Canis lupus familiaris: one gene and its partners. The protein of the gene in region 1 interacts with the protein of each later gene in a pairwise test. Links are inferred from orthologs where the notes say so. Each region holds a gene or a part of one and is shown in the gene's direction. Other genes may lie near its edges. The genes, in order: LGALS8, APEH, TAX1BP1 and MID2.

What was found.
Region 2: the proteins of LGALS8 (region 1) and APEH interact in binary tests that used the Homo sapiens proteins (3 or more experiments, as listed by UniProt). The two-hybrid records come from large-scale screens. The link is inferred for Canis lupus familiaris from reciprocal best matches to the Homo sapiens genes LGALS8 and APEH.
Region 3: the proteins of LGALS8 (region 1) and TAX1BP1 interact in binary tests that used the Homo sapiens proteins (3 or more experiments, as listed by UniProt). The link is inferred for Canis lupus familiaris from reciprocal best matches to the Homo sapiens genes LGALS8 and TAX1BP1.
Region 4: the proteins of LGALS8 (region 1) and MID2 interact in binary tests that used the Homo sapiens proteins (3 or more experiments, as listed by UniProt). The two-hybrid records come from large-scale screens. The link is inferred for Canis lupus familiaris from reciprocal best matches to the Homo sapiens genes LGALS8 and MID2.

The regions. Positions count from the first base shown.
Region 1 is NC_049225.1:3,918,865-3,927,256, reverse strand, and holds the end of LGALS8 (galectin-8), read left to right. Parts: coding exon 1-104; intron 105-738; coding exon 739-795; intron 796-1,608; coding exon 1,609-1,635; intron 1,636-2,364; coding exon 2,365-2,453; intron 2,454-3,641; coding exon 3,642-3,807; intron 3,808-6,618; coding exon 6,619-6,768; downstream 6,769-8,392.
Region 2 is NC_049241.1:39,995,662-40,003,827, reverse strand, and holds part of APEH (acylamino-acid-releasing enzyme), read left to right. Parts: coding exon 1-27; intron 28-547; coding exon 548-674; intron 675-1,086; coding exon 1,087-1,180; intron 1,181-1,281; coding exon 1,282-1,357; intron 1,358-1,444; coding exon 1,445-1,608; intron 1,609-1,741; coding exon 1,742-1,879; intron 1,880-1,976; coding exon 1,977-2,068; intron 2,069-2,144; coding exon 2,145-2,185; intron 2,186-2,271; coding exon 2,272-2,393; intron 2,394-2,915; coding exon 2,916-2,976; intron 2,977-4,229; coding exon 4,230-4,327; intron 4,328-4,568; coding exon 4,569-4,604; intron 4,605-4,959; coding exon 4,960-5,011; intron 5,012-5,845; coding exon 5,846-5,934; intron 5,935-6,367; coding exon 6,368-6,506; intron 6,507-6,982; coding exon 6,983-7,066; intron 7,067-7,146; coding exon 7,147-7,227; intron 7,228-7,579; coding exon 7,580-7,668; intron 7,669-7,773; coding exon 7,774-7,964; intron 7,965-8,074; coding exon 8,075-8,166. UniProt on the Homo sapiens protein: This enzyme catalyzes the hydrolysis of the N-terminal peptide bond of an N-acetylated peptide to generate an N-acetylated amino acid and a peptide with a free N-terminus. It preferentially cleaves off Ac-Ala, Ac-Met and Ac-Ser.
Region 3 is NC_049235.1:40,946,169-40,953,066, forward strand, and holds part of TAX1BP1 (tax1-binding protein 1), read left to right. Parts: intron 1-3,584; 5' UTR 3,585-3,591; coding exon 3,592-3,753; intron 3,754-6,898.
Region 4 is NC_049260.1:81,979,066-81,987,457, forward strand, and holds part of MID2 (probable E3 ubiquitin-protein ligase MID2), read left to right. Parts: intron 1-2,838; coding exon 2,839-3,554; intron 3,555-8,392. UniProt on the Homo sapiens protein: E3 ubiquitin ligase that plays a role in microtubule stabilization. Mediates the 'Lys-48'-linked polyubiquitination of LRRK2 to drive its localization to microtubules and its proteasomal degradation in neurons.

The DNA.
Region 1 (8,392 bases):
AACACATACTGCTCTATGCCCACAGGATTACCCCAGGGAAAATAGACACTCTGGGCATTTATGGCAAAGTGAATGTCCACTCAATTGGTTATAGCTTCAGCTCGGTGAGTATCCTTCCATAGCCTGGGGTCTTCTTTGATGATGTCTTCTGATGAAATGGTAGGAAATATCTTTAACATCTTAAGATAAAAATATTGTCAATGTCTCTGTCCTTAGTATATTAGTTTCTTGAAGGTAAATCTTTTAGGCTGGTGGTGTGTTATCTATTGGCTAGGTTTTAATGTCTATAGGATCTCAAATCTAGTATGGTTCTAACAACAATTAAAAAAAACCCTTATAACAGGAGCTAATTCCTTGACATAGGAAGTACAGTGGGGGCTTCTAGAGAGATTCCTGGAAGTAGAAAGTCTGAGTTAAAGGACATTTGCATTTTAAGTTATAAGTGATCCTAGTTGGAGGGCTAGTTGGCTCGTCCTCCAGAAAGATTACCAACAATGTAGTCTCAGCAGTGTGCCGGACTACTCCCACTTTTCTTGATGCTCGTTCTTAGTATTCTTTCTCGCTTGCCAATCTGATGGGGGGTGGGGGGTGGGGAAGGACTCTAATGTTAAGCACATTTCTGGATCATGATCTTCAAGCATATTTTCATGTTTAATACTATTTATAATTCTTTTTTGATATGTCAAGGAGGTTGTATTTAAAGTTCTGATGGCTGTTAAAAATTAATCTTATCTTCAGGATTTCAGAAGTACCCAAGCATCTACTCTGGAACTGACAGAGATAAGTAAAGAAAATGTAAATATTAAAGCTAAGAATGAACTACCAGTTTAAAAATGCTCTCTTAAAAAAAAAAAATAATAATAATAATACTAAAAATAAAAATGCTCTCTTAGTTGTCATGTAAATCAGGTGGCAAGCAGGCTAAAGTTTTTTAAATTATGTTTTGAATGCGAAAGGTTATTTTTAATAATAATATGCTGGAAGTAAGCATTTGAAAAGTAAGGCATATATTTTTGTACCAGGCTCTGTGAGTTTTGCAGACTCTCGAGTTTTGAGTTTTGCAGACCCTTGAGTTTGTAGTGTATCTGCCCCCTCCTGTGATTCTTGTGTAAAAAACCCCTCTCAACTGCTGAAGAGAACTGTCACATGGTACTTATAAATACTGGGCACAGTGCTTTGGCAGATGAACTTCCACACATATCTTCCCCCCTGTAGGAACAAGTATAGTTTAAACACCGAGTCTTTGGTATCAGGGGAGAAAGTGATGTCTTAATGATCTCAGAACATGTGACCTCGTAGATAGAATGTAGTATTTCAGCATTTTGGGAGCACCTTGGAAAGAACAAGTAAAACATGTCTCAAGTTCACATATAGTCCTGTGAATAATTAATTTATGGCGGAGTATACAGGCTTAAGATGACCAGGACCCCAGGACTGTATCCCCAGCCACAGTCAGGAAGTGCAGGCCGTTTGTCTGTCATTCCCAGGGCTGAGCAGGCACTACCATCCTGGCTCTGGCTGTTGTAACCATTAAGATCTGACTGTTCATGTTATAAAATGTAGTTTTTCCCTTTCAAACGTCTTCATCTTGACTTTCTCCTCCAATAGGTACTAAAGCCCGACACACCACATTTTGTAAGTATTTTTGCCTCAGTTATAGCGTGGAATGTTTTATAAAATCACCCAAGACATGAATATTTAAACCTTAGAAGACAGCCTCACTCCTTCCATACCTTACTGCAGAACTCTTTCCCCAACAGCCTAGTAATAGAGGAGACATTTCTAAAATTGTACCCAGAACTGTCTACACCAAGAGCAAAGATTCGACTGCCAATCACACTTTGACTTGCGCCAAAATACTACCTACCAGCTGTTTGTCAAAGGTTTGAAGAGCCAAAAGTTTTCCTAATTCTGTATAACAAATTAAATTTTAATTAGCTGGTAATGTAGAATTCATACCCTCAGTAGAAGCCCAAAGCAGCCAACTCTGCGTTTCTGTGCTGACCCTGGAGAGAAGAGTCAGCTGGGCATTGACTCTCTGGGCCCCCGAGCAAGTATTTCCGTAATGCCTCCCATCTGAGCTTCCTCCCCTCAGGCAGAAGGTGGAGCATGGCATCAGGACCCCATGCATAGCATCTTTCTCAGAGTGGATCTCACTCATACGAGGGATTTCAGGCCCCACCTCACATGTATTCATTTCCTTGTCTGAAATGCTTTCATTGAGTTTCCACTGTGAGCCGGGCAGTGCTGACTGCTGGGGTTTACAGGATTATGACTTTTGACCATTGCCCAGTGTCTTCGGACAGTTTTCCCATGAGGTCACTTTCTGCAGGCTTCCTAGCGCTGACTGTGGTTTCTCTTCAGACTCTGCCATTCACTGCAAGGTTGAACTCCTCAATGGGCCCTGGACGAACTGTTGTCATTAAAGGAGAAGTGAATAAAACTGCCAAAGGGTCAGTACCGCTGTTACCAGGAATAGTGTGACTGCTTTCCATGTGTCTTTTTTTTTTTTTTTAAGATTGTATTTATTCATGAGAGAGAGAGAGAGAGAGGCAGAGACACAGGCAGAGGGAGAAGCAGGCTCCATGCAGGGAGCCTGACGTGGGACTCAATCCCGGGTCTCCAGGATCAGGCCCTGGGCTGAGCGCGGCGCTAAACTGCTGAGCCACCAGGGCTGCCCTCCATGTGTGTCTCTTAATGGCCTCTTATGCTCTACCTGTCTTGTGAGATGGAAGCAGGAGTAGTGTCCTAATCCTCACCTGAAAGAGACTCTCAAAGCAACAGGAAGTCAGGCTGCTAACAAGACTGCTGACAACTAGCTGGTGGCAGAATTAGGAGTAAAGGCCTCTCTTTTGAGCTAGGGTTTTTGTGGCCAGATAAGAGGGTGGTGTTTTTGTCCGGGAAGCTATGCATGCCTTGTAGAAGGTTCAGGTCAGTCTGTGGTCAGGTGACTTTTGTTAGGGCCCCTCACGTCATGCGACTTATACGATTTCTGCCTTAGGAACCTTTTCTAGAGACGTTGAGACTTCTGGAAGCTTGAAATTACCTATTTCCTAGAAAGTAGTACACTTTCAAGAAGAACAGAACACTTGTCAATGTTAAAAGAGAATATGTACTTGAAAGGACCCCATCCTCCTGTAGCCCAAAGCAAGCATTTCGGTTACTTGCTCTAATCCTTCAATTGCTTCCCATCCAGATCTGTAGCTTCAGTGTTGAAGTGTTTAACACTGATGTTAAAATTTTTTATATTTTTATTTTGCAGAGAGCACATTTACATCAGTGGCATGCTAACTCAAAATTAAAATATTTTTTAAAGATTTATTTATTTATTCATGAGAGACAGAGGGAGAGAGGCAGAGACATAGGCAGAGGGAGAGGCAGGTTCCCTGTGGAGAGCCTGATGTGAGACTTGATCCCAGGACCCCAGGATCACAACCTGAGCCGAAGGCAGATGCTCAACTGCTGAGCCACCCAGGTGTCCCTCAAAATTTTAAATTTTACCTTCCCATCTGCATTGGTATGTCTGTGTGCACACATGTGTTTTATGCAATTATGATCAGAGCTCAGTTCTGACTGTTAAAATTGCAGAAACTGTACTTCTCTCTTCTACTTGGTTAATTTTTTTTTAATTCTCTCAAAAGCTTTAATGTTGACCTAGTATCAGGAAAATCAAAGGATATTGCTCTTCACTTGAACCCACGCCTGAATATTAAAGCATTTGTAAGAAACTCTTTTCTTCACGAGTCCTGGGGAGAAGAAGAGAGAAATATTACCTGTTTCCCATTTAGTCCTGGGATGTACTTTGAGGTAAGATGATCTTATCGGACAGAACAAAGAATCCTGGGAGGAAGTATAGGAGAAATAAGTCTTTTAAAATTAAGCCCTAGCTTAATATGTGGAGATTGCATGTGGCTTTTATTTGGGGAGTATCTGCATTATAAAAGGGGCATTCAAAATACAGTTGGTATTTTGATTGGCATAAATGGCATAGCCAGTGGACTATTACATTATTTGCACTGGAATTATTACTGGATGGTCCCATATTAGTTCATAGGAATTTTAACAGGAACCTTGCTTTAGGACGGAGAAACATGATTAGGATAATCCTAAGAGAACATGAGGGCATAGGAACCATAAAATTGCCTGTTCTGTCACCTGCCATCTTGAGTATATATAGCCTCAGGTGGCAGTCCTTTCTTCCAGGTTAGTCCTGCTTGTATATATTTAAGGAAAGAGATTTTAGACCCTTGGAGCTTGGAAGTGCTATGGTCCCAAGTTCCCCAAATGTGTGAATATTATGGTAACACAACCTGTCCTAAAATGTGTTTCTGGATGCTTACAGACAGTAATCTCCTTAATGTGGATGCTGGGTGGTTGGCTAGGTTCACTCACTAGCTTAGGTGAAGCACTGTCTACGTGGTCATTCAGGGTCATTGATTTAGGTCATGCTTCTGTATTTTAAACTGTCACATGCTCTGGACCATTAGGACTCATCAAAACTAGTTGTTAAAGGTAGGAACATCGAGGCTGAATAGAAGATGGTAATCGGACATTCATATGTATTCCTAAACTCCTGGTATGTAGAGTAACAGATGTGACCTAATCCTAGGAGGTTTCCTGGAAGTTGTGGATATTGGTTTGGAATTCAGAAGGATGTAGGAGGGTAAAGTTAAAGGTGGGTTTTCCAGATTGAGGGAATGGTTTGGGCAAGGTGGGGACGTGGGGAGGGCAGCCAGGGGATTGTTGGCTTGGCAGGAGTCCAGGTATAAAAGGTGACTGAGGGCTCATTGTGGGGAAGACAGCAGTGACTGTTTCAGAAGGCCGTGGATCCTTGTGGTTGGTGACAGGAAACCAGTGATAGAAGTTGCTCTTTGATCCGACCCCCAAGTTTAGCTCTATGTTAAAATAGAAAAGGACAAGCATTCTTTTAAATAATCTTTTCCTTTTGTTAGTTTTCTGCCTCAGGAACAGTAATTACTCTCATGTTGGACCATTGTTTTTAGTTTTCTGTAGTGATAGGGAGTTGGAAGCAGAGAAAAAACAATCTTTTTAATATGCTTTCATTTAGATTCTCAGATTATTTCATTATACTGTTACTTTGATATTAACCACTACTTTCTGTTGTTTCAAATTCATTTATTAGTTCCAGCTACTAGAGTCTTTTGAGAAATATCTTTCAGTTTTGTATTTTTTTTTTTATCATCCTATAATGTTATGAGCTATTCTAGAACATCAGATGGTTGTAAAGGATTGTTGTTCCATGTTTTCTTAGAGATTGTGGGTCTGTTTTCTGCAAGTTGTGTACTTGTTTTGCGGCAGTATGTTCCCTGGGCTATAGGCATTTCCTTCCATTTGTGAGGCAGTGGCACCATGCTTGCTCTGGTACAATAAGGGTGACTGATGGACTCTTCCCAGTATACCCCTCTGATGCCAACTTGTTTTCCCTTCTGGGCATTAGGCTGTGCTTTATGTTCTCTTGAGATTTCGTTAAATGTATGTTACTGAGGGTTTCTTCCACCTGGTTAAAACTGGGATTTCCACCACTTTTTGGGATGATAGAATCCCAGGTTATGGATATTTTCCCAATTCTCTGTGTAGCCCCAGTTTCTGTTAGTTAGCTCTTCTATCCATGGAATTTTCCCCAGCAGCCACTTTTACTAGTAGAAGCAAAATAACCTGCACACTGTCTTTACAGATTTAGATTTGCCTCAGTCTAGATCCTGGGGATGGAAACGGAGTTAGCAGCAGGGCTGTGCTGCTCCTTTCTGCTCTTCTGAAGCCCTGACACAGGGAAGAGGCAGAAGGGAGAACATGGTACAGGTTCACCAAACTGGTCTTTTTAGTGTGGGTGGAGAATAAATGGTAGAATTGTGGCCAGACTGGCATCAGGAATGTGTTATCAGAAGTATGAGTGTTAGGTGTGATTTAAAAGGATTGTAGTTTCTTTTGTTTTTCACTATTTTGAGTTTTAGGCAGACAACTCTGTGAAAGGCTGACATGAAAGGCCAACACCAGTCATGAATCTGAGTTAAATCTTTGCCAGAAAGCTAATTCCTCCATGGATTACTGCCCAGAATACTGCTTTTGGGAAATGGATGGGGAGACCAAGATGTGCTGAGCTGGGATGGAAGTCACAGTCCCCACACAGCTGGGCAGTCCTAGAGGGTGCCCTAAACTTCTGAAATTTTTGATGCATGGTTTGTCTAAGACCCTAGAGTTTAAGGCAAAAAAGTCATGGCTCAGGTCCCTTGGTTTCCCACTTATGGAATCTGCTCCCCTGTGTCAATATGGCAGTTTTCCTGTCATTACAGTTCCCAAACATGGGTGGAGGGCAATTTTCCACTTTGCTGGGAGCAAGGGGCAGGAGAGAGGCCTCAGGCCCTGGGGACAGGGTGAGGCTTCAAGCATGCTCAGTGACTTCTCTGAGTGGGACAAAGCAGAAGGTGCTGCTACCAGATAAACTTAAGAGTCTTAGAAGAGAAGTTAGCAGCAGCAGGCTGGGAGAGTGTCTCTGTAGAAAGCAAACCCCGTGGGTTTACTTTTTGATATCCCGGAAGTGTGCAAGAAACAAAGTGTTGAACTGAGGGAGCCACTAATGTTGTCGTACTTTCCTTCCAGATGATCATTTATTGTGATGTTAGAGAATTCAAGGTTGCGGTAAATGGTGTACACAGCCTGGAGTACAAACACAGATTTAAAGAGCTTAGCAATATTGACACGCTGGAAATTGATGGAGATATTCATTTACTGGAAGTAAGGAGCTGGTAGCTGACATGCTTGCTACAAAAACTGAAATACAAAATGTCTTATGTTAACACTGGCTTCGTTAAAATGCATCTATTATATTGTTTATACGTATATTTTGTTAAAATGAGCTTGCATAATATGAAATCCTACTAGGTATTCTCAGTCCTTGCCATGCAGTGTGGCTTTGTCTATCTAGCACAGAGTAAGGAAATCTGAGGCAACAGTAACTTAGTCATTTTTCAGGCATTTCTGTTCTCTCTCCCACCCCAGCCTCTTCTTTTTAAAATCTGCTTCACATTCAACAAGTATCTATTCATATAGAAGCTAACATATATTGAGCACTTATTTTTTTTTGCCAGCAACGTGCTAGAGCTGGGGATAAATGTATACAGTGGAGCACAATACCACTCTGTTCCTGTTCTCTTGAGCTCAGAATCCTCTGTGCTCTGCCATCGTGCCACTGACTTTTCTACGGGTATTAACGCATAAAGGAACCAGAGACAATTACTGAGCTGTGAAGTTACCTCCATACTAATTTACAAGACATTACTTCTCTAGCGATCGCTTTCAAACCCAGAGTTCAGTCATATCCAATAATTAAAGGACTGATGTTGCCTTACATCTGGCAGTTTCCTTCAGCAGGATAAATATCTAGCTCTAACATGAAATCTGAACACAGTACAAAGATTAAGGCAAACAATGCAGCAAAACAAAACCAATGGTATTAAAATTAACTTGAGGTCAGTCTATGCCGCCAGTGTCTGTACCAGAAATGCTTTAGAGTAGCTGAATTCAGGGTGAGTCAAGAGGTTTACATGTACTCCAAATAGAAAGTTTAAGGTAGATGATTTTAATCTGTAAAATGTTTATGGGTAACAAAGCAATGTCAAGATTAGATTTCATGACTGTAAAATAGGCGCTATCATGAGGTAGAGAGAGGCAGTATAAAAATCTCTTGCTTGTCTGCATGCAAATAAACTCCACTTCTCTGTTCTAAAGATTGGTCCCTCATCATTAGCAATGGAGATCAAAACATTATTCAGTGATTAAAATCAAACCTGTATCAGCAAGTTAAATTTTTGCATTTCTGTAATTTTTTCCTATTCTTTGAAGCGAGTTGGCAGTTATTTGTACAATTCTTACAGGTCAGATCTTGTTATAGGAAATTTCAAACGCTTGGGAGTGGGGAGGTAAAAAAGCTAAGTCGGTTTGATCATTTTATCATGTTCAGTTGTTGGGCTGAATATGCTGCCAGTGTTTAGGAATATTTTCCTTAAAGATTTTGGTTAGATATTATTTGTACCCATATACTGAAAAGACAACTAGCAATCTGATTTTTTATAAGTACTCAGTGTAGAAGCTTCTGGCACTTAATTCTTTTCTATTCATGTTAACTTATTATGTTGCGTCTTGCCAAGCTCGTGGGGAGCAGAGTTGGGGTCCTAACTTTCACTGGGAAAACTGAAGAAGGAATCCCCCAGGGGTTTTTCCCTCCATAAAGAACATCAGAGGGCTTGAACGAGATGCAGACTATGGGGCTCTTAAAGGAAAAATAAAAGCCCATATACATCGTTTCCTTTCATTTCTAAACACACTTGATGTTCACTTTTGTGTCATGTGGAGGTATTACTAAAGACATAAAATG
Region 2 (8,166 bases), on another chromosome or scaffold:
GGGGCCGCTACCGGACGGTGCACACCGGTGTGTGTTTGGAGGGGGATCGAGTGGCGGGCCCATTCCGGGGCGGTGCACTTTCGCGGAGAAGCGGGAGATGTGGAGGGCTTGCTGCTTGACAGTGCACTCGAGTGGTTTGCAGAAAGTGGGTGTAGGAGGGTGCACCCTCATACAGGTGTGTGAGGGACGCTGCCCGGTGTGTTAAGGCACGATGCCTTTGAGTGCATGGTTGACGGTGTGGGAATAGAATTCAGACCGGGATACACGGTGTGGGCCTTGTAGGCTCACCCCTCACCATATCCCATACATGTGCCAGCCTCCCCTCAAGTATGAGGGTGGGAGTACGAGCTGGGAGCAGTAGTGGTTTCTCTCTGACATGCTGTTAGCTCAGGCCTAGACTTGAGTTGTGGCCAGGTGTTGTCCCTCCTGCTTCCAGCATATCCAGAAAGACTGCAGAGGTGGCCTGGGCTTTCCTTCCTTGTGAGGGGGTGAAAGGAGCCTGTACTGGGACTGGTCAGCTCAAATTAAGTCTCATGCCTCCTCACAGAGTGGACCCAGAGGGACCTGGAACGCATGGAGAACATTCGATTCTGCCGCCAGTACCTGGTGTTCCATGATGGGGACTCAGTGGTGTTCTCAGGGCCTGCAGGCAACAGTGTGGAGACCCGGGGGGAGTAAGTTTGAGGGAAGAAGCTTGTGGGCAAGGCCACAGCCATCTGCAAGCCTTTTATGAAGGCCTGCCATGTGCCATGGTGCAGGTAGGGCCCTGAAGGAAGACTAGGAGCCAGGTTCTTGCCCCTTGGGAGCTCATGTGGTCTCAATTGACATGGCCTGATGAGCACTGGAGACTTTGTTCAAACTTGAGCCTGAACTAGAGCCCATGGAGCTTCAGGGGGGCTGGGGAGAGTAGAGCCCGTGCCCCAGGCAAGAGAGGCAAGGCCAGCTGCCATGATGGAGCTGTAAGGGCTGTAGGGGCGGAGGTGAGACCAGTCTCAAGAATCTTGTCTAAGAGGTTGTGGCCAATAAGGGGGCAGGATGGGACTGTGTGGGTGGTGATCCCGACTTCCTACCCCATGTCCTCCTCAGGCTGCTGAGCAGAGACTCTCCTTCGGGCGCCATGAAAGCTGTGCTGCGCAAGGCTGGAGGCACAAGCCCTGGGGAGGAGAAGCAGTTCCTGGAGGTGAGTCTGTATGGGACCAGGTGGTGGGCAACGGGGGGCTCAGTCCCACAGATGAGGCTCTGTTGGGGGGGGCAGGTAACCTGACACCCAGATGTCCTCAGGTTTGGGAGAAGAACCGGAAGCTCAAGAGCTTCAACCTGTCATTGCTGGAGAAACATGGGCTTGTGTACGAGGACGGTAGGCAGCTGGCTGGTGAGAGACAGGGTGGACAGGAGGGGCAGCCATCACCCAGGTCTCCCCCTGATCAGCCTTCCTTACACCCAGACTGCTTTGGCTGCCTGTCCTGGTCACACTCGGAGACACACTTGTTGTATGTGGCAGAGAAGAAGCGCCCGAAGACTGAGTCCTTCTTTCAGACAAAAGCCTTGGACGTCAGCAGCAGTGATGAGGAGATGGCCAGGCCGAAGAAACCAGACCAGGCCATCAAGGTGCTCATGTTTATGGCCAGTCCGTGAAGGCCCTCCGGGGCCGCCTAGGGCTCGGTGTGCTTCCTGCCCACATCGTGCCTGTCAGAACTGGGGAGGAAAGACAGGCTGGACATTGAGTATTTTGTATTCTTAGGGGGATCAGTTTGTGTTTTATGAAGACTGGGGAGAAAACATGGTTTCCAAAAGCACTCCTGTGCTCTGCGTGCTGGATGTCGAGAGTGGCAACATCTCTGTGCTTGAAGGGGTCCCTGAGAGTGTGTCCCCTGGACAGGTTAGCACTGACTCAACCTGCCTCACTCCTGGGAGTGTGGGGGCCCTGCTTGAGCCGCTGCCCCTTGTTCACCCTTGCCCTGGGGTTTTGTTTACAGGCATTCTGGGCCCCTGGAGACACAGGCGTGGTGTTTGTAGGCTGGTGGCATGAGCCCTTCCGGCTGGGCATCCGCTTCTGCACCAATCGCAGGTGAGGAAGCGGGGCAGGGCAGGGGGCCTTTCAGCTTAGTCTGGCCTGAAACTGAGTGTCTCTCTGGTGGTTCCAGGTCAGCCCTATACTATGTGGATCTCACTGGGGGTCAATGTGGTAAGTGCTGGTGCCTACCTGTGCTTTGCTGGCACATACACTGGCCCTACCGGCCTGCATGATGCTCACATTTTCGTCTGGTCTAGAGCTTCTCTCAGATGACTCTCTGGCTGTGTCTTCTCCCCGGCTGAGCCCAGACCAGTGTCGCATTGTCTACCTGCGGTACCCATCTCTGGTCCCCCATCATCAGTGTAGCCAGCTGTGTCTGGTGAGCTGGAGGAGGGTGGGGAGTGGTGAGCAAAAGGAAACGATGGTGGATGGGAGCTGAAGGGTCAGTTTCATCTCCCCATGGGCCCCTCACTGGACCTCCTGTCTTGGGTGCAGTGATGGTGTGAGTTCTGTCTGTCTTCCTAGGGCAGGACCTAGAGGCTGAGCGTGCTGGCATGGGGCTTTGCACTGTCAGGACCCGCCACCTTAGAGCCTCCTCTATCTACAAGAATGCTCTTCCCTTTGCTTCTCATCTGCCCGTGATCAGGCTCAACAAGGGGCTGGGATGTAGCTGGCAGTTACAAAGTATTAGTCCTTGCCCAAGAGCAACTCCTTGGGAAAGTCCCAGGCCCCTTTGGGCATCTGTCCAGGTTACCAGAAAAGAAATACATCAGGCTTGTCTCAGGTCCTCCCCTCCCCCGAGGCTACCCAGGGTGGTCAGAGAAGAGGATGGGTAAAGAGCTCTGTGCCCTCAGGACACTGCCAGTCCCCTGGTGGGCCTGACCAGTGTGTTCTTTTGCAGTATGACTGGTATACCAAGGTCACCTCGGTGGTGGTGGATGTCGTCCCTCGGCAACTGGGAGGTAAGGGGTATGTCTCCAGTTAGGTGCAGCAGAGCCTACAGCTCTGTTTTCCTGCCATCTGTTATCCTTGTGCGGGGCCAGCTGCCTCAGCTCTTCTTTTCTGGCTTCTATCTGAAGTGTCCCACCCTGCTGGGCCAGCCCCGTGTCCAGCCTGCATGGGGAACAGAACCTTCACCTTAGGGAACAGTTCTGATACAAGTCAGCAGGACCAAAGCTGAGATCAGAGTCGCCCAAGGTGGCAGGGGATTTAGATTTCTTTTTTTTTTTTTTTTTTTTTAAGATTTTATTTATTTATTTATTCATGAGAGACACAGAGAGAGAGAGGCAGAGACACAGGCAGAGGGAGAAGCAGGCTCCATGCAGAGAGCCTGACGTAGGACTCGATCCCGGGACTCCACGATCACACTCCGGGCTGCAGGCGGCGCTAAGCCGCTGCGCCACCGGGGCTGCCCGATTTAGATGATTTCATTTCCATGCTGCAACTCCTAGGCAGAGCTTGTGTTTCCAGTGATTGGTTAAAGCCTCTGCTCAAGGGGGGGCCTCAGAAAGCACACTAGGTTGGAAAGTCCTGGAGAAGCCACAAGCTCAAGGGTGCTACACTGTCCTGCTCCCAGCCCCCACTGTAGTGTTTGTCCTATCTAAGCTGCTGAGTCAGTGGGATCTCTTCTTAACCATGACAGGTCCTCGGACAGCATCCTCATCTCCCTGAGCTTCCATTTATTATCTGTGGGTGGTGGTAGCCTCTGTCTTCTTTATAGCATTATAGTAAGGGTTAAACGAGTGATATCAAATGTGGAATCTATTCAGCCCCCTCTAAATCTATTCAGAGTATAGGTCTGAATAGATCTATATGAATAGATCTGAATAGATCTATTCAGAGTGCCTCTGCCAGGCATTCTGCTGAGCACCATCATGGACAGACAGACAGTATCATCTTGGTTATAGCACTTGGTGCCTACCAGGGGCTCAGTAAGAGCAACACATAGGAGACCCAGTGCATTTCTTCCAAGCAGCTATGGTTGCTCTCAGAAGCTCTTGAGCTCTGCCTCTCCTGGCACTCAGAGGCCTCTGCCCCCAGCCCCCTCTTCAGGCAGCCCCTTATCACCTCAGGTACCCCCATGTATAGGACTGCCATTCTGTCACAGTTGCAGGGGTTCTGGGGGGTGGAGAGTTCTCCAACCCAGCTGGCCTCATAGGCTTGACCTCCCATACCTCCACTGCTGGATGTGGCCTCAGCCCTCCCATCTTTGCAGAGAACTTCTCTGGGATCTACTGCAGCCTTCTGCCTTTGGGATGCTGGTCAGCTGACAGCCAGAGAGTGGTTTTTGACTCAGCCCAGCGTAGCCGGCAGGTAAGGGGCCCTATGTTGAGAGGCAGCCCCCCGACCAACCTCCAGGAACCCTGGGCCCAGGGCATAGCATATACACACTGCTGGGTGGAATGCCCTGCCACAGGTCTTACAAGCCCCTTTAGGCCCTGCCTGCCCCTGTCCTGGACTTTTTCTTAAGGAGACTGCCTGCCTGCTCTGGTGCCCCACAGCAGAGCCCTTGGCCTTTTCTCCTGAGGCTGAGGTACAATTCCCCTTCCCCCAGGCATTTCCAGCTGGGGGACGAGGCAGCTGCCACCAGGTGGGTCCCCAAACACTAAACAGAGAGCTAATGGAGATGGGGAGAAAAAATGTGGGTAAGGACACTCACAGTGTGCCAAGATTCTTTTTCTTTAGTGTGATATCATTTGTTTCTCATACTAGCTCAGGGGCTCAGAGGCATTCCTTGCTTTACCCAGAGTCACTCTGCAAGTTGTGATGGGGCTGGGATTTGAGTCCAGGCCTCCATACCACTACCAGTGGCAACTAAAGAGCCATTGCCATAGTTGTTCACAGCCTTGGCCTGGCCCAGGGGTCCCTAAGAGGGTCGAGAGGTGGGAGAGGGACCCATAGGGCTCTTGGATGTGGTACCACATGTGTCCTCCCCTCTGCCTCAGGATCTGTTTGTTGTGGACACCCAGATGGGCAGTGTGACCTCCCTGACCGCTGGTGAGCAGGGCGGGTGAGCAGGCCAGCCAGGCCAGGGGTGGGAATGGAGCTCCAGCACATGGGGCAGTAGTGGCACCCTTGGCCACTCTGCACCACTGACTGTCCCGCAGCCTTTACTGCATCTTGCAAGGACCCTGACCATGCAGGACCTTCCCAGCCAACAGACTGCCTCCCCTGCTCCACTCTGCTCTGCACAACCAGGCCTTGACTCAGCACATCCCCTGCTTCTCAAACCTACAAAATTCTTTCTTGCCAAGATCTGCCAGAGTCATCCTTCCCCCAACTTCCAAAACCTCAGGCAAAGGCAACTCTGCTATCCCAGGGCCCATGAGAAACTCTACGTTGGCCCCCTCATCCTTCTCTTATCTGGGCCTTTGATTCTGCCCCTAAAATATCTTGAGTTCTCAACCTGCCCTAACTGTAGTCCTTCCTCCACAGAAGTTCCAAAATATTGTTCCTAAATTGTATCTCATCATACAGTCCCTGGTTAAGAATTTCCTTGGACCCCAATGCCCAGAATCAGCACCACTCCACCCCCCTAGGCCTACCTGCCACCCCTGCTGATTGCAATCACTAAGTTGTAGGTGGACATGCCATGGTCGGCTGTGTCCCCAGATTTGCCAGTCCCTGGGCTTAGCATCTGCTGGTTGAACGAGGTACTAAGCAAGAGGCTCACCCAAGGCTGTGTGCAGTTGGGTGTTTGTGACAACCCTTTTGTGGGTGTTCCTTTGCTTCTCGGGATGAAAGGGACACTCTGACATAGAGCTACTGCCCTGGGGCTCTGACTGTGCAGGGAGTGGGTGGGGGAAAGGTGGTGGCATCTGCCTTCTCCAGGGGGGTCAGGTGGAAGCTGGAAGCTGCTCACAATTGACCGGGACCTCATGGTGGCACAGTTCTCCACGCCCAGCCTGCCCCCAAGCCTGGTGAGTGTTGGTGGGCCCCGGACCAGGAAGTGAGGGTTCTGTGTAGGCAGAGCTCCCCAGGTCAGGGAGCTGGCCTGAGTCTGACTGCGGTTGGTCAGCATGTGGGAGGCCGAGAAGTGGTCCCAGCCCAGCATGGTCCATAGGGGTCTGGCACCCATGGGGAGCTACTACCAGGTGTAGGTCTGCTCTATAAAGAATAGGGTACCCAGGAAAGTGCCCAGTCCTCTGGCACAGCAGAGGACACAGCAGAGCCTAAAAGTTCAGGAGGGAAGGGTGTGTGTTTATGTGGGAGTGCTTCTGCATATACCGGCTCACAGCATTAGTCTATGATGTACCCTCGAGGTGGTAAAAGGCCTAGCATAGTGAGAGCTGCCCACCTCCCACGTGGCAGAGGCAGCCAAGCCACCTATGACACACTTTTTCCCCTTGGCAGAAAGTTGGGTTCCTGCCTCCTGCCGGGAAGGAGCAGACAGTATTGTGGGTGTCCCTGGAAGAGGCCGAGCCTATTTCTGACATCTCCTGGGCCATCCGGGTACTGCAGCCACCCCCAGAGCAAGAGAATGTACAGTTCGGTGAGCTGGGCCAGGGCAGAGGGACACCTCCCAAGTTCCCTGCACGTATTACCCCTTCTGTGCCCCTCCCTCACATTGTGACGTTTCTTGGGATTACCTCTAAGAGACCTCCTGTTCTTCTTGTGCATGGTCATGGGGAGTAGTGCCTGGGTATGTGGGCACCTAGTCTGGATATCAGGACTGGGCATCACCAGGCCAGATCCTCTGTGGTAGGGAAACCAAAGCCCAAAGATGCTACCTTATTCGAGGCCTCTGACCACATCTCATCTAGAATGCTGTCCTGACAGAGTGGGTCTCCCAACTAAGACAGGAGGAGTATGAGCCACCTGGAGTCCCAGGTGTCCTGATGCAGGCTACCTTGACCAGATCTTTCTTTCAGAGGTCAGCCCTAGACCTGCAGCTGCAGCTCAGGCCTTTGCTGGGGAAACACCTCAGCAGCAGCACTGGCTCTGCTAACTCCTGCCTTCTCCCTGCAGCTGGCCTTGACTTTGAAGCAATCCTTCTACAGCCCAGCAACCCTCCAGATAAGACCCAAGTGCCCATGGTGGTCATGCCCCACGGTAAGCATCCAGTCTAAGAGCTGCTGCCCTCCCACTGCCCATCCTAGCTGGCTCATTCACTCTCTGCTCCATGTCTGCAGGGGGACCCCATTCATCCTTTGTCACTGCCTGGATGCTGTTCCCAGCCATGCTTTGCAAGATGGGTTTTGCAGTACTCCTAGGTGAGTAAGCAGAGCCCTACAGCAGTGGTAGGGCTGTGGAGGGTGATGGGTGGCCTGGTTTGTAAGCACCACGGGTAGCACCCTAGTCTCCGGGCCTGTCTGCAGCCTGGCACCAGCAGCCTGGTAATGGCCCAGCCTCAGGCTCCACGGCGTGGTCACAACATGAAATAACATGGGACTTCCATGGAAATGGTACTGTGGTCACTGGGCAATAGCCTCAAATCTCTTGGCCCCATGCCTTGACAGTCTGTGGTGCAGCTGGCCCTAAGGCCTACTTCACAAGGGATGAAAGTGCATCCAGGGGGCTGGGAATGTCACTGACCACCTTATCTGCTTCCTCCCTGGCCTCCAGTGAACTATCGAGGCTCCACGGGTTTTGGCCAGGACAGCATCCTCTCCCTTCCTGGCAAAGTGGGCCACCAGGATGTGAAGGATGTCCAGGTAGCAGGGGCTGGGGCTTCTGGATAGGCTGGAGGGTCAACCGTATTGGGGTGTGTTTCATTCAGGTGGGCAGCCAGCTGCAGCACACTCTGCCCCACCCTGTAGTTTGCAGTAGAGCAGGTGCTCCAGGAGGAACACTTTGACGCTGACCGAGTGGCTCTGATGGGTGGTTCCCATGGTGGCTTCCTCTCCTGCCACCTGATTGGTCAGTACCCTGAGACCTATAGGGCCTGTGTGGCGAGGAACCCTGTGATCAACATTGCCTCCATGATGGGCTCCACTGACATCCCTGACTGGTGGGTGTGCTCCACAGGTCCCTGCCCTTCTCTGTGTTGTCTCATACCCCACATAGAGCCCCCACAGGCTCCAGGGCTCCTTGGGCATGCTTCAGTGCAATCTCTTACAGGTGCGTGGTGGAGGCTGGTTTCCCTTATAGCAGCGACTGCCTGCCAGATCTCAGTGTGTGGGCTGAGATGCTGGACAAGTCACCCATCAAGT
Region 3 (6,898 bases), on another chromosome or scaffold:
GTATTTGGTTCTTTAATTCTTGAGTGGATTTTTTTTTAAGATTTTATTTATTTATTCATGAGAGACACAGGGAGAGAGAGAGAGAGGCAGAGACACAGGCAGAGGGAGAAGCAGGCTCCATGCAGGGAGCCTGACGTGGGACTCGATCCGGGGTCTCCAGGATCATGCCCTGAGCTGAAGGCAGTGCTAAACTGCTGAGCCACCCGGGCTGCCCTTGAGTGGAAAATTTTTGTTTAGCCTTTGGCTTGCATCTTAATGTACCTGTGTTTCTGGAGATGTACGTTAAGAGAATGGGAAGCAAAATTTGGTATAGTACAGCAGCTTCTACTTCCCTTTGTGTGTAAAGGGGCTATGTTTCCTCTTCAGCTAAGGTGCAGTGTCTTTTCTCAGGATGTTAGTGAAGCTACACTTCCCAAGCATTACCACAAGGTGATGCAGTGACTGCACATTACTTCCCCACTGGGCTGTGTGTGTGTGTGTGTGTGCGCGTGCGCATGAGCATGGATATTGTATAAATCTGTCTGAATCATCTTGATAAATTGACATTCTCAATAAATTTTAGCATTTTTATAAGCTTGCCCTCTTTATCTGCATACGTATAAAACAGGAATTATATGGGAAATTTTATTTTACTATTTAAAATGGGTTGATTCATGTGGTAATTGCATTCAGATTACATTATCCCTTGTTACTTTTTATGACTAGAAGATAATATTGGAATTTAATTTTTAAAAAAAGTTTTTAAAACGTGAGAATGGAATGACTTGTGAAACAATTCTATAGTTGCACTGAAATTTTTAGATTGGAGTGTTGGGGAGAGATAATAAGGTTAATAGAATGGTCACAAATTATTTTACTCTTAAGATTTATAATCATGGGGATCCCTGGGTGGCGCAGTGGTTTGGCGCCTGCCTTTGGCCCAGGGCGTGATCCTGGAGACCCGGGATCGAATCCCACGTCAGGCTCCCGGTGCATGGAGCCTGCTTCTCCCTCTGCCTATGTCTCTGCCTCTCTCTCTCTCTCTCTGTGACTATCATAAATAAATAAATAAAAATTAAAAAAAAAAGATTTATAATCATGAATATATTTAAAGTCTGATGTTAGAGTCTTCTATTAAAAACTTGAATGGGGGAAGGTTTAAAATGAAATTTCATGTCAATATGTTGATTTAAAATGAAGATGAGTTTATACATACTGATAAAAAATCCATTAAAAGTCTTCACACATAGTCCCTCATGAGTAAAGACTATTAACTTTATTTTAAGTCCTTTTTGATGCATTTGTTATTAACTCTTGTATTTTTTAGTCCTTTTTGATGCATTTGTAAGTGTATATACACACATACACATAAATAAATACATATACATAAATACATAAATACATAGTAGGAAGTATACCTTCCTACTTTCTACTTTTTCAGTGAAGCGAAAGTGTAAGATTGGATTATAGATTTTTAAAACAGTGTAGTTGAGGTTAAACAAAAGTTTAAACTTCACTGACTTGTTTTATAACAATTACAGCTTTGTTGATTTAGTTTACTTTAGGAAATATGTTAAGTCTTAAGGGCAGCCCCGGTGGCGTGGCACAGCGGTTTAGCACCGCCTGCAGCTCAGGGTGTGATCCTGGAGACCTGCATGGAGCCTGCCTCTCCCTCTGCCTGTCTCTGCCTCTCTCTCTCTGTGTCTCTCGTGAATAAATAAATAAATCTTAAAAAAAAAAAAAGGAAATATGTTAAGTCTTAAGAAAAAGTTTCATTCTTAAATTACTTTTAGCAAAAAACATTGGCAACTCAGTCTAAGCTAACCTTATTTTTTCCTTACTAAATGTTTTCCTCAGAGAATCCTAAATACTTATTTTCTCCCTAGAAATATATTACTGATTCATTCATTTGTCTCAGTTTTGGTAGTTGGATCTGCTAGAAGTTGGTTTCATTGATTTTTAGCTATTGTTTCTCTTAACTAGTATAACCATTGACTTGAAAAGCGATTATCATTAGTGATTTTATTAGCATCATGACATCCCCCTGAGCCCAAATTAGCTCAGACAATTCAAAGAAAGTAATAAAACTCTTCATTTATTTTAGACAGCGTTCCCAGTGTTTGTATGTAAGTGCTATCTTTTCGTTTTATTGATGGCTTTGGCATAATAGTGATAGTCAAATCCTTCTGTAAAATAGGGCTGCTGGTAATAAGCCATGGACAGGAGGATTGCTACTGGATGCACTCTCCTTGCATTGGAATCCTGGCAAAGCTCAGGTTGTGGAGAGGCTAACTGACAACTAGACTGGTACTCTACCATGGTGGCTCCCAGGCTCACCATTGATAGTCTCTTTATGAGATGTCTAATATACTGTTCCAGTAAAGCAGTACTTTAACAGAAGCAGAGAAGATACAAGAAGAAAAGTGGATATTTTCTGAAGTATTTATCTTGAAATTTTGAAAATTTGCCTTAGTGTTTCAAACAGGTCAGCAAAAGAAACGTATAAGCATGTTGTCTTCAATCTTAACAATTAAGATTTTAATAGTTAAAATATGAATAGAGACTAACTGCTGTGCTTGCCCTATAGAGACTTTATTGATTTATAAAGTAAATTAGATTCATTTGGTTAGCAAAAAGCTTGCCCAGGTTTTCCTGTCACATTATGGGGATTTTTATGATGATACAGGAGCAAGTACTATAGGGACATTGTCATAGTTTCTTATATGTAGTATACAATCAATAATTGTACTGAGTCTGTGATACTGTATAGATTTTTTGAGTAAATCCTCAGTTGTATCCTTTTTCTCAAAAGTAGAGCACAAAATATGGGAAACATTTATGTCTTGCAGATGTAGTTTTATTTCTTTTTTTTTTTTTTAAATTTTTTTTTAATTTTTATTTATTTATGATAGTCACAGAGAGAGAGAGAGAGAGAGAGAGGCAGAGACACAGGCAGAGGGAGAAGCAGGCTCCATGCACCGAGAGCCCGACGTGGGACTCGATCCCGGGTCTCCAGGATCGCGCCCTGGGCCAAAGGCAGGCGCCAAACCGCTGCGCCACCCAGGGATCCCCTGTAGTTTTATTTCTTAAAAAGATTTTGTTTATTCATGAGGGACACAGGCAGGGACATAGGCAGAGGGAGAAGCAGGCTCCATGCAGGGAGCCTGATGTGGGACTTGACTCAGGTACTCTGGGATTACACCCTGAGCCAAAGGCAGATGCATCCAACCACTTAGCCACCCAGGCATTCCATCAGTTTGTATTTTTATATATTCAATCATGTTTTTTTTAATTATTTATTTATTAGAGATAGAGAGACACACACAAACAGGCAGAGGGAGAAGCAGGCTCCATGCAGGGAGCCTGGCGTTGGTCTTAATCCCAGATCTCCAGGATCGCGCCCTGGGCGGAAGGCGGTGCAAAACCGCTAAGCTACCGGGTCTGCCCTCAATCATGTTTTTAAGGAGGAATTCCAAGTGTGTGTCTTCTCAATAATTATGGCATGCAGATGCTCTTGTAATTTGCATTTAGTTTTGTGTATTTTCTGAAGGTATAAACTTTGTGTTAGTTGGTATCATTCAACTTGTATGATTTGCTTGTTTCAGATTCACAATGACATCCTTTCAAGAAGTCCCCTTGCAGACTTCCAACTTTGCCCATGTCATCTTTCAAAATGTGGCCAAGAGTTATCTTCCTAATGCACACCTGGAATGTCATTACACCTTAACTCCATATATCCATCCACATCCAAAAGATTGGGTTGGTATATTCAAGGTAAGAACAGTTTGTTGCATGTTTCTTCCATGTAGGTATAGGTACTCTATTTTCTTTTTAAGCAGGTTGATAAGTAGCTTGTATTAGCCTTGTCTTCACTCTGCGATAAGGGTCTTTTTACATTTGTAAACTTAAATGCTTTATAAACATGAAACACCTAATAGTGCAGGGTGGTATACGATACTGGGAACTAAAGTTCACCAGTTTTGCCCGTCTCTCTGATCAAAAGGTCTGTGAAACACTTTTTGGAACCTTTCTTTCCCTTCCATTTTTTCCATTCCTTATTTGAAAAAAGGTCTTTTCCTTTGAGTTGCTTTATCATTTACTATCTCTTCAGTCATTTATAATTAATTTTATACAACTCTACAGCCGTGTTATTTTTCTATTCTACGTTGATTAATTATTGCTCATGTCATTTTATGCTTTTTTTTTTTTTTTTTTCTAAATTTTATTTATTCATGAGGCAGAAACACAGGCAGAGGAAGAAGCAGGCTTCATGCAGGGAGCCCGACATGGGACTTGATCCTGGGTCTCCAGGATCAGGCCCAGGGCTGACGACAGTGCTAAACTGCTGAGCCACCCGGGCTGCCCCATTTTATTAAGAGTATTCTGTTTTTACATGACTAAATAGTAAACTCTCTGATGACAGGAATCCCAGTTCTTACCTTTTGCTAGTCATTTTGTATAGTAGTTGCTTGAGAATTACTTTGAGGTGATCTTTATGGTGGTGCTTCTCTGTGCTAGAAATTTACTGGCAATTTCAACTCTTAAGAATGTAGTGGATAACTAAAACGTGAGGTGAGTCCTTAGGGTGCCTGGCTGGCTCAGTTGGAAGAACATGTGACTCTCGATCTTGGGTTTGTGAGTTTGAGCCCCACATTGGGTGTAGAGATTACTTAAATAAAATTAAAAAGTGTCCTTTCAACAATCAAAATGTCGTAAATGTCCAAATAATAAAACTTTTCTCCTCAGTTCCTCTAGATTCTCCCTCAGAATGAGTTTTAGATATGATTTTAAGGGTCTTGAAATTTTGATTGCATGGTGTGTATAAGTTACAACAAAGTAGAAAGAAAGAACAGCTGCCAGAATGAAACACAGGTATCTAGAAGTGAAAGTCAGCCTTTTAGAGTGAGGAGGGCCGAAAAACTATTGGACAAAGAAAGTTTTGGCATCTAATGACGTTTCATTTCTTTTTTGAATCCCTTCCTTGATTTTGATGATAGAGGAATCATTTACTATTTTTTAATCTATTTATTGTTTGAGTCAAATTCCAAAATGGGGATACATTCATTGTAAGCATTTTTATGAAGTTAGTACTGGTTTGATTTTATGTGAAGTATGGGTTATCAAGTTAAAGAAGCTGAGTGAAAATTGGTGTTTTGTATAGGAATTGGTCAGACAAAAGTAGAGCAAGGAAATAAGATTGAGGGAAAGGAGGGGCATTTCTGGCAGGAAAATGGTATAAGCAGAGCCACAGAGTTGAGAATGTTATTGAGACAAGTTAGTTTGACTAGAAAATGACCTTCATTTAGGAAAGTAGAGGGAGGTAATGTTGGAATTAAGCTTCAGACTATCTATGGAGACCTTTAGTTATAGGCTAAAATTAAAATGTAGGTTTCTATTTTGGGCAATGGGATGTCTTTGCATATGTAGGTATGTAGGCTGATGTATGATAAATTGCATTTCAAGATGAATCTTTACCTTTTTCCTTTGAAGTTTTTTTTTCCCCTCAATTTTTAGTTAATGGCCTATTGCCTAAGCCAAAAGCTAATTACTTTCCTTTCAAATCTATTCAAACACCATTTCTTTACATTTTATTGCATATGTATTTTTGTATCTGTGATATCAGTGCTCTAGTTTTATGCCCTTTCCAAAATTATTGCACTTGTTTTCCCTGTTTTCATTCTTGTCCCCCTACCTTATCTGTTCTTCAAAGTACTGTATATAAACTATATTATAAAATGAAAATCTGAACATATCTTCTTTTTGTTTCAAACTCTTAGTTTTTCATTATCTGTAGAATAACGCCAAGACCAAATAACTTTACCAGTGTGCCATATAAGGCTTCCTTTTTTTTTTTTTTAAGATTTTATTTATTTGGGAGCTTGTGAGCATGAGCTGGGGGAGAGGCAGAGGGAGAAACAAAAACGGACTCCCCATGCTGAGTAGGGAGCCTAAAGTGGGGCTTGATCACAGGATCCTGGGATTATGATCTGAGCTGCAGACAGACGCTTAACTGAGCTACCCAGGTTCCCCATATAAAGCTTCTGTATATGTAACTTCATTTTTTTTGGTCATAGCCTGCTTATTATTATTTTTTCAAAGATTTTATTTATTCATGAGAGACTGAGAGAGAGAGAGAGAGAGACAGAGACACAAGCAGAGGGAGAAGCAGGTTCCATGCAGGGAGCCCGACATGGGACTTGATCCCGGGAATTGCCTTATTTTTTACTTTGGTAATGCCAAACTCTTATCTCACGTGCACTTCAAGTGCTGTAACTTTTCTCTAAGAAATAATACTTACATAAATGAATACAGTGGTATGGAATGCGCTTGGATTATAGAATTGCCTGGATAATACTTTTAAACTTGATAGGAATTTCAGGTATGTGGTAAAAATTTCAGAATACGTGCGGGAAGTCTCAAGAAAATAAATCATGTTTAATAGAGTGGAATTGCCATGCTTATTGCATTGCACGTTTTAAAACATTTAGGTGTACTGCAAATTGCCCTCTAGGATGATTTTGATGGATACAATATTTTAGGGAAGCAAGAGAAAGTGCAGGATGGTAGCTATAAGGGGGAAGGAATGAAGGGAAAGTGTGTGTGGTATGTTTGTGAAAATGTTAAAGGAATTTGACTTGTTTGGGACAGATCATCAGTTTTAGAAGATGAATGGAAAAGCTTGGTTTGGATATTTGGCTGAGGAATGAAGTACAGCAGAGAGTAATTTTAGAAGTGAGTCTTTATCTTGGAGGGTTGAGTAAGATAAATTTAAATTGAAATTAGAAGAGAATGGAGACAGAAAATGTTTTAGACTATCCTAATTTTCTAGGTGAGATAACGCCTAAAGTAGAAAAGGGAGTCAGTTGTGGATTATAATCCATAAGTAGAATCATTGTGAATTTGTCACAATTAGTTGAAT
Region 4 (8,392 bases), on another chromosome or scaffold:
CTGAGCCAAGGCAGATGCTCAACCACTAAGCCACCCAGGTGTCCCCCAACTGTTATTTTGGAGGGAGGCCTCACTCCACTCTCCCAGGCAGTTTCCAATACAGACATTGAAGAAGGCAAACTTGCAGTTCCGGAAGAGATAGTAAGAAAAATGTAGTGTGAGGTGGAGTTGGGTCTAGAAGAAAAAGATATGATTCTGGAAGGGACTCGGAATGAGGGACAGATTCAGAGAGACTCAGGGGGACACAGACAAAAATAGAAGCGGAAACCCACTGTTTAGAAGCCCTCTTGTGAATAGTCAAGATAAACCTTAGTGGAGGAGGTGAGAGGATTGAAATAAAGGTGTAGGGGAAAGAGCACAGGCACTGGCATTAGACTGATCCAGTGCACTGGGTATATATGTTCCTGGTTAATTTACTTAGCAGGGCTGAGCCCCAATTTCCTAGCTGTAATATGGATACGGTAATTCCTTCCTCACAGGCTTCTTGACAGCATTTAATGAGGTAATGTGTGTAAAGTGCTTAACACCATTCAGAATACAGGAGGTGCTCAATAAATGCTAGGTCCCTTCTTCTGACTTCTACTTTAAGGGATCTTCATTTCACAATTAGTGAATACCCAGTATGTATGAGGCACTGTGTTCTGAATAAAAATACAAAACAATCGATGCCCTAAGGGGCAGGGAGAGTTGGCTGGAGACAGAGATATGTAAATGAAATAAAACAGAAGGTTCTGGAAGCCACTAGTGGTTGTGGTGATAAACATGTAAATGAGAGAACTCCTAGGTTTATAGGCTTGGTTAGTGATATTCACCAGATAGGGAAAACTGGAAGAACAGGTGTTTTGGGTTTTGGGTGGGGGAGGGAGGAGAGAGGAAGGATAGCAAGTTCATTTATGGCCATGTTGAACTTGAGTAGTGGAACAATCAAAGGATATACTCCTGCCTGGAGCAAAGGTTGGAATCCATCATCTCTAACTAAAAGTTTCTTCCACTTTTAAGGTCTTGTGATGTAGGCACAATGTAATTGTACTCTTTCATCTCTATTGGTGAATGCTGATAGGTATTATAAACTACATATTGCCAGCCAACAATTTTGTAGCACTTGTAAATCATAAACAGAATAACTGCATGTCTCATGTTTTAAAAATGTAGTTATACAGTCTGAACTTACCAAACCAACCATGAGTGGCTGTTTTGCCAGAAAGACTCTTTACTTTTACTTTACTCTAAACTTTTTCCTATAGATTTCCATTAAATAGCTAGTTCGTTTAGTGCACCTAAGAGGTTTGATCTAGAAACAGCTTTTAGGGATGCATCTGGTGTTTTTATTCAGTGGCAGAATCAAAATTTCAAGCCCCAGTGAGGGTCTTCCATGATAGTAAGATGATGAACAAAAGTTATTCACGAGCCAAAGACGGCTTTCTCTTTTCTAAAAATAAGATTAACACCTTCTGTCGATAAGATAGATTTTTTCCTTAGTTAAGGCTAGCTTAGAACATTTATGTGTGTTCATTTTAATTAACAGAAGACCCATGGCAATATCTATTATGTTCAGCTCAGAAATGGCTGTGGGAGAAGAGATAGATTGACCAAGAGATTGGTTTCATTAATTTCATTAATTGGGTGACTTCTTTTACTCTGCGATGCACATACCAAAATGAAAATTACCAGATGTGGAACTGGCTGGCTCCTCGCCTTGCTAATTTATATCTGGGTGTTGATTTGCATCCTGTTATGTTTTAGGAAGTATGAAAAGACACACGGGGAGGTGAGCTTCATGGTAGGCTTGTGCTAGTTCAGTGAATGTGTAATAATAAAACCCAGCTGAAACCAAAAGGTAATATGTCTTCATTATTGATCAGCATCTATTGCTGAGTTTGTTGAAAAGTGGAAGTCCTTTCTCATTGAGCTTGATGAGATGAAGAGCTTGCTGAAGGTGAAGGAAGGAAGTGAAAACCAGCACCATTTATCTCTAGTAACTCAGTTTACTAGAACTGGAACAGAACAGGAATTTCCATGAGTGACACCAGGAAATAATTAGAGTTCACACTCTGAAGAATTTATTATTCTATGCTGAGCAGTCCTTTTTTTCCAAAGCTTGCTCTTCTTTTTCACCCAAGCTCTCAGAATGGAATCATTTCAAGAAGTAGAGAGTTTGAAATATGGCCCTTTTTCCTTCCCCTAGATGTGAAATAGGCACAGCCCCTTTATTTTACCTTGAAGGAAAAATACAGACCAGTATTGGAGAATGGAGATTGAGAATTTTGCAGGGCCTCAGGCTCATCACAGTCCAGGACCAGAGATGTCAGTGGCTAATATGTGAGGGGTCTGATCTGCACTGGTCTCATAAGCTGGAATAGTTATGTCAGCCAGCAAACCAGGATTCAGAAGTGACTACTTGGTTCTATTTATTAGTGCAGGAACATAAACTCGCACATTTGTTGAAAACAAGGTTTGAAGCGGGGGTAGGGAAAGGCTTTTTAAAAAAAAGATTTTATTTATTTATTCATGAGACACACACACAGAGAGAGAGAGAGAGAGAGAGAGAGAGGCAGAGGCACAGGCAGAGGGAGAAGCAGGCTCCACATAGGGAGCCTGATGCGGGACTATATCTGGGACTCCAGGATCATGCCCTGGGCTGAAGGCAGGCACCAAACCACTGAGCCACCCAGGGATTCCCCAGAAAGACTTTTTGATTAATTCCCAGATTGCTTTCCTATTGCTCCAGCCCCACTGGAGAAGCTAGCGTGCAAAGCCTCCATTGGCTAGTGTGTGACTGTGCTACATCCACGTTTCCTTCGGAAACGCCTAGTGACTCTTGCTTTGTATTCCTCGCAGGTGAAAGCAGAGCCTCTGTGGTTCTTAATGCCTCAGCAGGATTATTTTCACTAAAGATGGAAACACTGGAGTCTGAATTGACCTGTCCAATCTGCCTGGAGTTGTTCGAAGACCCCCTTCTGCTCCCTTGCGCTCACAGCCTCTGCTTTAGCTGTGCCCACCGCATCCTGGTCTCAAGCTGCAGCTCTGGTGAATCCATTGAACCCATTACTGCTTTCCAGTGTCCTACATGCAGGTATGTTATCTCGCTGAACCACCGGGGCCTGGATGGCCTCAAGAGGAATGTGACTCTGCAGAACATTATCGATCGCTTCCAGAAGGCTTCAGTCAGTGGGCCCAATTCCCCCAGTGAGAGCCGCCGGGAAAGGACTTACAGGCCCAGCACTGCCATGTCTAGTGAGCGAATTGCTTGCCAATTCTGTGAGCAGGACCCGCCCAGGGATGCAGTGAAAACATGCATCACCTGTGAGGTCTCCTACTGTGACCGTTGCCTGCGGGCCACACACCCCAACAAGAAACCTTTCACCAGCCACCGCCTGGTGGAACCCGTGCCAGACACCCACCTTCGAGGGATCACCTGCCTGGACCACGAGAACGAGAAAGTGAACATGTATTGTGTATCTGATGACCAATTGATCTGTGCCTTATGCAAACTGGTGGGACGTCACCGAGACCATCAGGTTGCGTCCCTGAATGACCGATTTGAGAAACTCAAGGTAAGGGATCTGGGAAATGTCTCTTATACACCTTGGTCTCTACACACAATTGTTATACACACTTAGCAAGTTCCCTAATCAAGCTAGGTCCACTTGTCCTATGTAACAAGTCAATTAACTCCCAAGTTGTTCTCGTGAGGAATTGCCTACTCACTCACAAACTCTCCCTGGGACCTGCTTCATCAGTGGCACAAACCTGTTGCATCCCTTCACCTCTGGCCAGTTCTGGATGAGTTAGCCTCTGGCCCGTACCACACGTAGCCTGCCCAGAGAAACAACACCGTCTGTCCTCTGTCAGTGACATATTGCACACTATCTATCTTTGTCATGATCTTTCCGCCTGTTTTAGGTATGTGAGTACCTATGTAGGTGTCCTGTAATTAGCATACGTGCTGATATGCCTGGGTGCGGGTATAGCAATGGGAAGGTTGGGTGTGTCTCTGTGGAGGTGTGGGTGGAGGCGTCTGAGTGTATCTCTATGTAGGCGAGAGATTTTTTTTTTTTTTTTTTTTTTTTTTTTTTTTTTTTTTTTGGTGGAGGACAGTAGTACATGTGTTTGTCCTCTCGACATGCTAAAGAAACAGGTTTGGCACTCCGCTTGCCAAAAATTGCCCTCCAGCCCTTAGCACAGGGCTGATTCTAAGCCTGCCTCACAAAGCAAAAGCAAAACAGAACAAAAGACAAAAAAGGAACTTCAGTTTACTACGAAGTCAAGAGGGATAATCAGCTGTCTGAACTCAAAATTTCAACTGCAGGCAATAAGTATTTAATCCAGTGTTAGATGTGCCAACGTGCAGTTTTTTTTTTCTTTTTGAGTGTGTGTGGGTTGGAGACTGAAGCACTGGGCTGCAGTTGCCTGCCTTGGAAGTTTCCAGTATTTCATTGGCGTTCATTGGACAGAGTTTCCCAAAGTTGTCATGCTGTATATATAATATTTATGTGCAAGTCAAAGCACCTATTTTGTAAAACCCTACTGCCTCATGTTGATGTTAACAAATGTCAACTCCAGCAAATTGCTTTATTCCCATGGCCTGCCTGCCATAGGGTTTAACTTCTCTTAAGAAGGGAGCTGTTTAGCAGAAACTCCAGGAAAATAAAATGTTTATGTGACTAATGAGATTACCACCCCCCAAATAGGGACTGGCTAGATAGATCAGGGTGGAAGGAAGAGGATAGGATGGGAGGAGGGGAGAAAGGAAGTGGAGATTTTCCTCTTGCCATGCCCCAAACAAGTCATGGTAACTCATGTAAACATTTCATGAGGTTGGTGAAGATAGCAATACTCAGGATGGGATATATTTTCCCTCCCATAATTTGTTGCAAGCGATATTGAGAGTGGCCACGCTGACAGTGGTTTGTGCCTTTTGTGATTTTTATTTATATCTAATATGTACAGATTTGTACAAAGTTCAATGTTTGTGGATTCCACTCAGGGTGATTTTCTTACTCGTTTCCAGACTATGGTGAGGAATAATCTCATTGACTCCATTCTTAGACTCCTAGGATGCCAGGCCTTGCACTTGGTCTAGTCAAAGCCTTACACTGTCATGTGGTATAAATTAAAACTTTGAGGGGTTAAGTGATTTGGTCAAAGTCACAGGATTGGAACTGGAACTCAGCTTCTGCACTCTAAGTATCCTTTCTGCTGTAGCCTGCTGCCACTTTGTTTTGGACCTCAGTTTTGCCCATGAAATGTGATTTGAAACTTAACTTTATGCTCTGGCAATTGTACATTTCATGGGTCACAGATAAACGATTAACAGCATCAAGGAAAGGACATACTGTATAAACTTACAGCTTCATAATGGCAAGAGATGGAGGTGGGGTTGCAGGAAGAGTAGGGGATATGGAGAGGATGGGACAGTCTCTGCCAAATGTTTGCAGGTGTTGGAACTATAATAAGGCACTGGCCTTGAGAAATACTCCAAACAGAAAACTCTGTATCCATATGTATGATTGAGATAACAAAAGACTGGATAGAATAAGCCTGTATCTGCAGAACACCAGATTTTGAAAACATCCGAAAACATGAAAACACTGGATGATTGATTAGATATTTGGCATAATGTAGCTATAGCCCAAGTCTCTAGGGCTGGACACAGCACAAAAGTATTTTACCAAAAGATAATTTAGTATGTAACTAATCAGTAATTTTTGGAGAAAGAAAGGCCAGATTTTGAATTGTTCCCCTTTAATTTTTTAAGGAAATGTGCAGAAAATTCTGATTTTAAATTAAGCGGAAACTTTTTTTTTTTTGCTCATTTTTTGGACTGAGAGTGGAAACATATGAATCATTCCCAACTGTGTGGTTTGTTATATTGTCTGGAACATCTTGGACTTTGGGGAGGGAGAGGTGCTGTTGCTGTTGCTGCTGCTGCTGCTGCTGCTCTGTGTGTGTGTGTGTGTGTGTGTGTGTGTGTGTGTGTGTGTGTTAGATGTGTGAGGATCACTTTGGTGTCCAAGTGTAAAGGGCTATTAGTTCTCCATATTAAGCGGAGAGGAAGTTTGACTTAGTGTCACATATTCTCACTTCTTTGGCTTAATTTTAATTTAGAAAAGCATTTGGGATTATTCCCTTAATCTGCCGAATTCTTCCCCAAGGAGAAAGGAGGAAGCTGGTTGTCAGAAGCTATGGAGGAGATGGCCTTGAGCATACTCCTCTGGCCCTGAAGAGCATGGGAGTCCTACAGGAGAAGGGGGGGGGGTATGATAGTACATATATCTAGGGGTTTTACTTTTGGCCCATAAGTGAAATGGTGTTTATTTGTCCTTTTTGGTTCTGGAGCTTCACTGTTGGCCTTTATAACTACCCTATTTGTACTAACTTCCCTCCGTAGGATTAGTGGTCTCCAGTATTTATTTATTCAATGAAGAATAAACACACTGTTATGTTATAAGACAAAAGGTCGGAATAACCAGAAGCCAGCCTGTCTTCTTAACATGTGCTCAAAGTGGATTAGGGGGGTTTGGGATACTTACTATGGTTTATTATCATTCTTTATTTGTCCATTCTAACTACATGTCCTTCGGAAGGCAACCAGTGGTTCAATTAATTCTTCAATTTCAAAGAATAGTTTTGTTCCCAACAGTTATTACAGTAGAAAGGCCTATCAGAGTAATTATTTCCTCCATTCCTTCTCTTTCCACTTATGTGTCCCAATATATGATCTTAGCTCATGACATGTGGCCACATTTCTATAAAAATGCTTCACGTGTTAAGAGTTTTCATTGGCTCATGAGTTTCTCCCTGTAGAAAAGATCGATACTATTACATTAATAAATGTTGGCTTTAGGGATGCCTGGGTGGCTCAGTGGTTTATCACCCGCCTTCAGCCCAGGGTGTGATCCTGGGGTCCTGGGATCGAGTCCCACATCAGGCTCCCTGCATGGAGCCTGCTTCTCCCTCTGCCTATGTCTCTGCCTCTCTCTGTGTGTGTCTCTCATGAATAAATGAATAAAATCTTAAAAAAATGAATGTTGGCTTTCTAAAAAGAGGTCAAATTTCAGTGGCTCTGTATTGATGACAGATCTCAACTCGATATTCTAAGTCTGGTACAACTTAGTTCACATGCTACCCATCCATCTTTGCCCCCTACCACTCTCAAACGTAGTACCTTTATTCTGCCCAGATTAGCTTCCTGTCTGCTAAACATACCACTCATTCTCTTTTATGACTCCTAACTTAGACCTGTGCTCTTTTTTTAAAAGATTTTGTTTATTATTTATTCATGAGACACACACACACACACACACACACTCAGAGAGAGAGAGAGAGAGAGAGAGAGAGAGGCAGAGACACAGGCAGAGGGAGAAGCAGGCTCCATGCAGGGAGCCGGATATGGGACTTGATTCTGGGTCTCCAGGATCATGTCCCAGGCTGAAGGTGGTGCTAAACCACTGAGCCACCCGGGCTGCCCATTGTGCTCTTTCTCTTGACCTGCTTAGGAATCCTACCAATTCTTTAGTCCCCAGCTAAAACCCTTCAAGGCCACCCCAACACATCCCAGCTCTACCATAAATTTTTTGAGGCCAGACGCATTATCTTTTATTTCTTCAGTATCCTCCTAGTGTCTTGCACACATAATATGTGCTCAAGAAATCCAAATGAGTGGAATATTAATAATGGATCTGTGGGAAATATAGCAGTGTCTATAGCTTGCCTTAGCTCTCATCTTGTGAGATATAAATCTGTCTTGCCATTATGACTACTTTAGGGGTCTGAAAAAAAAGAATCTCCTGCAAACTCCTGATAATGTTAAAAACCAGAGTGTTAGCAAAAGTATGGCATGTCCTTAATTTTAAGTGCCTATTCATTTGGAGTACTGGATTTTCCAACTGCCTAACCCTGTGGTGACATCTGTATAAATCAGATGTGATTATTATAATTCTCTTTGAGAGTGATGTCTTCACATTTCCATGCCCATAGCCTGCCAAAAATATAGCTGATGAAAATCAGGGGGAATAGAGGAATTTCCTGAAAGGAATAAACAAGCACATTTTCTTTTTCTCATTACATTTCCACAAATTCATTACTACAAATAATTCTTAAATGCAGTTGCACTTACATACCAGGGATCTCGTTGTTATAAAATATTACCTGGCACCAGAGTAAGTTTTTTGTTATGGGAAAGTGAAACACACACCACACACACACACACACACACGGAAAGAGAGGCTGAGACAGAGCTCAAGATTGCTAGACAAAGAGAAGGGAGATGTGAGACTTGGAGAATGTTCAAAGGAAAGCCACAACGCCAGTTAAAAGGTTGGAAAATATGATATGATATTCTAGAATCTTATCAGAGTTGATTGCTTGCCCTTCTTCCTACTCAGTCACT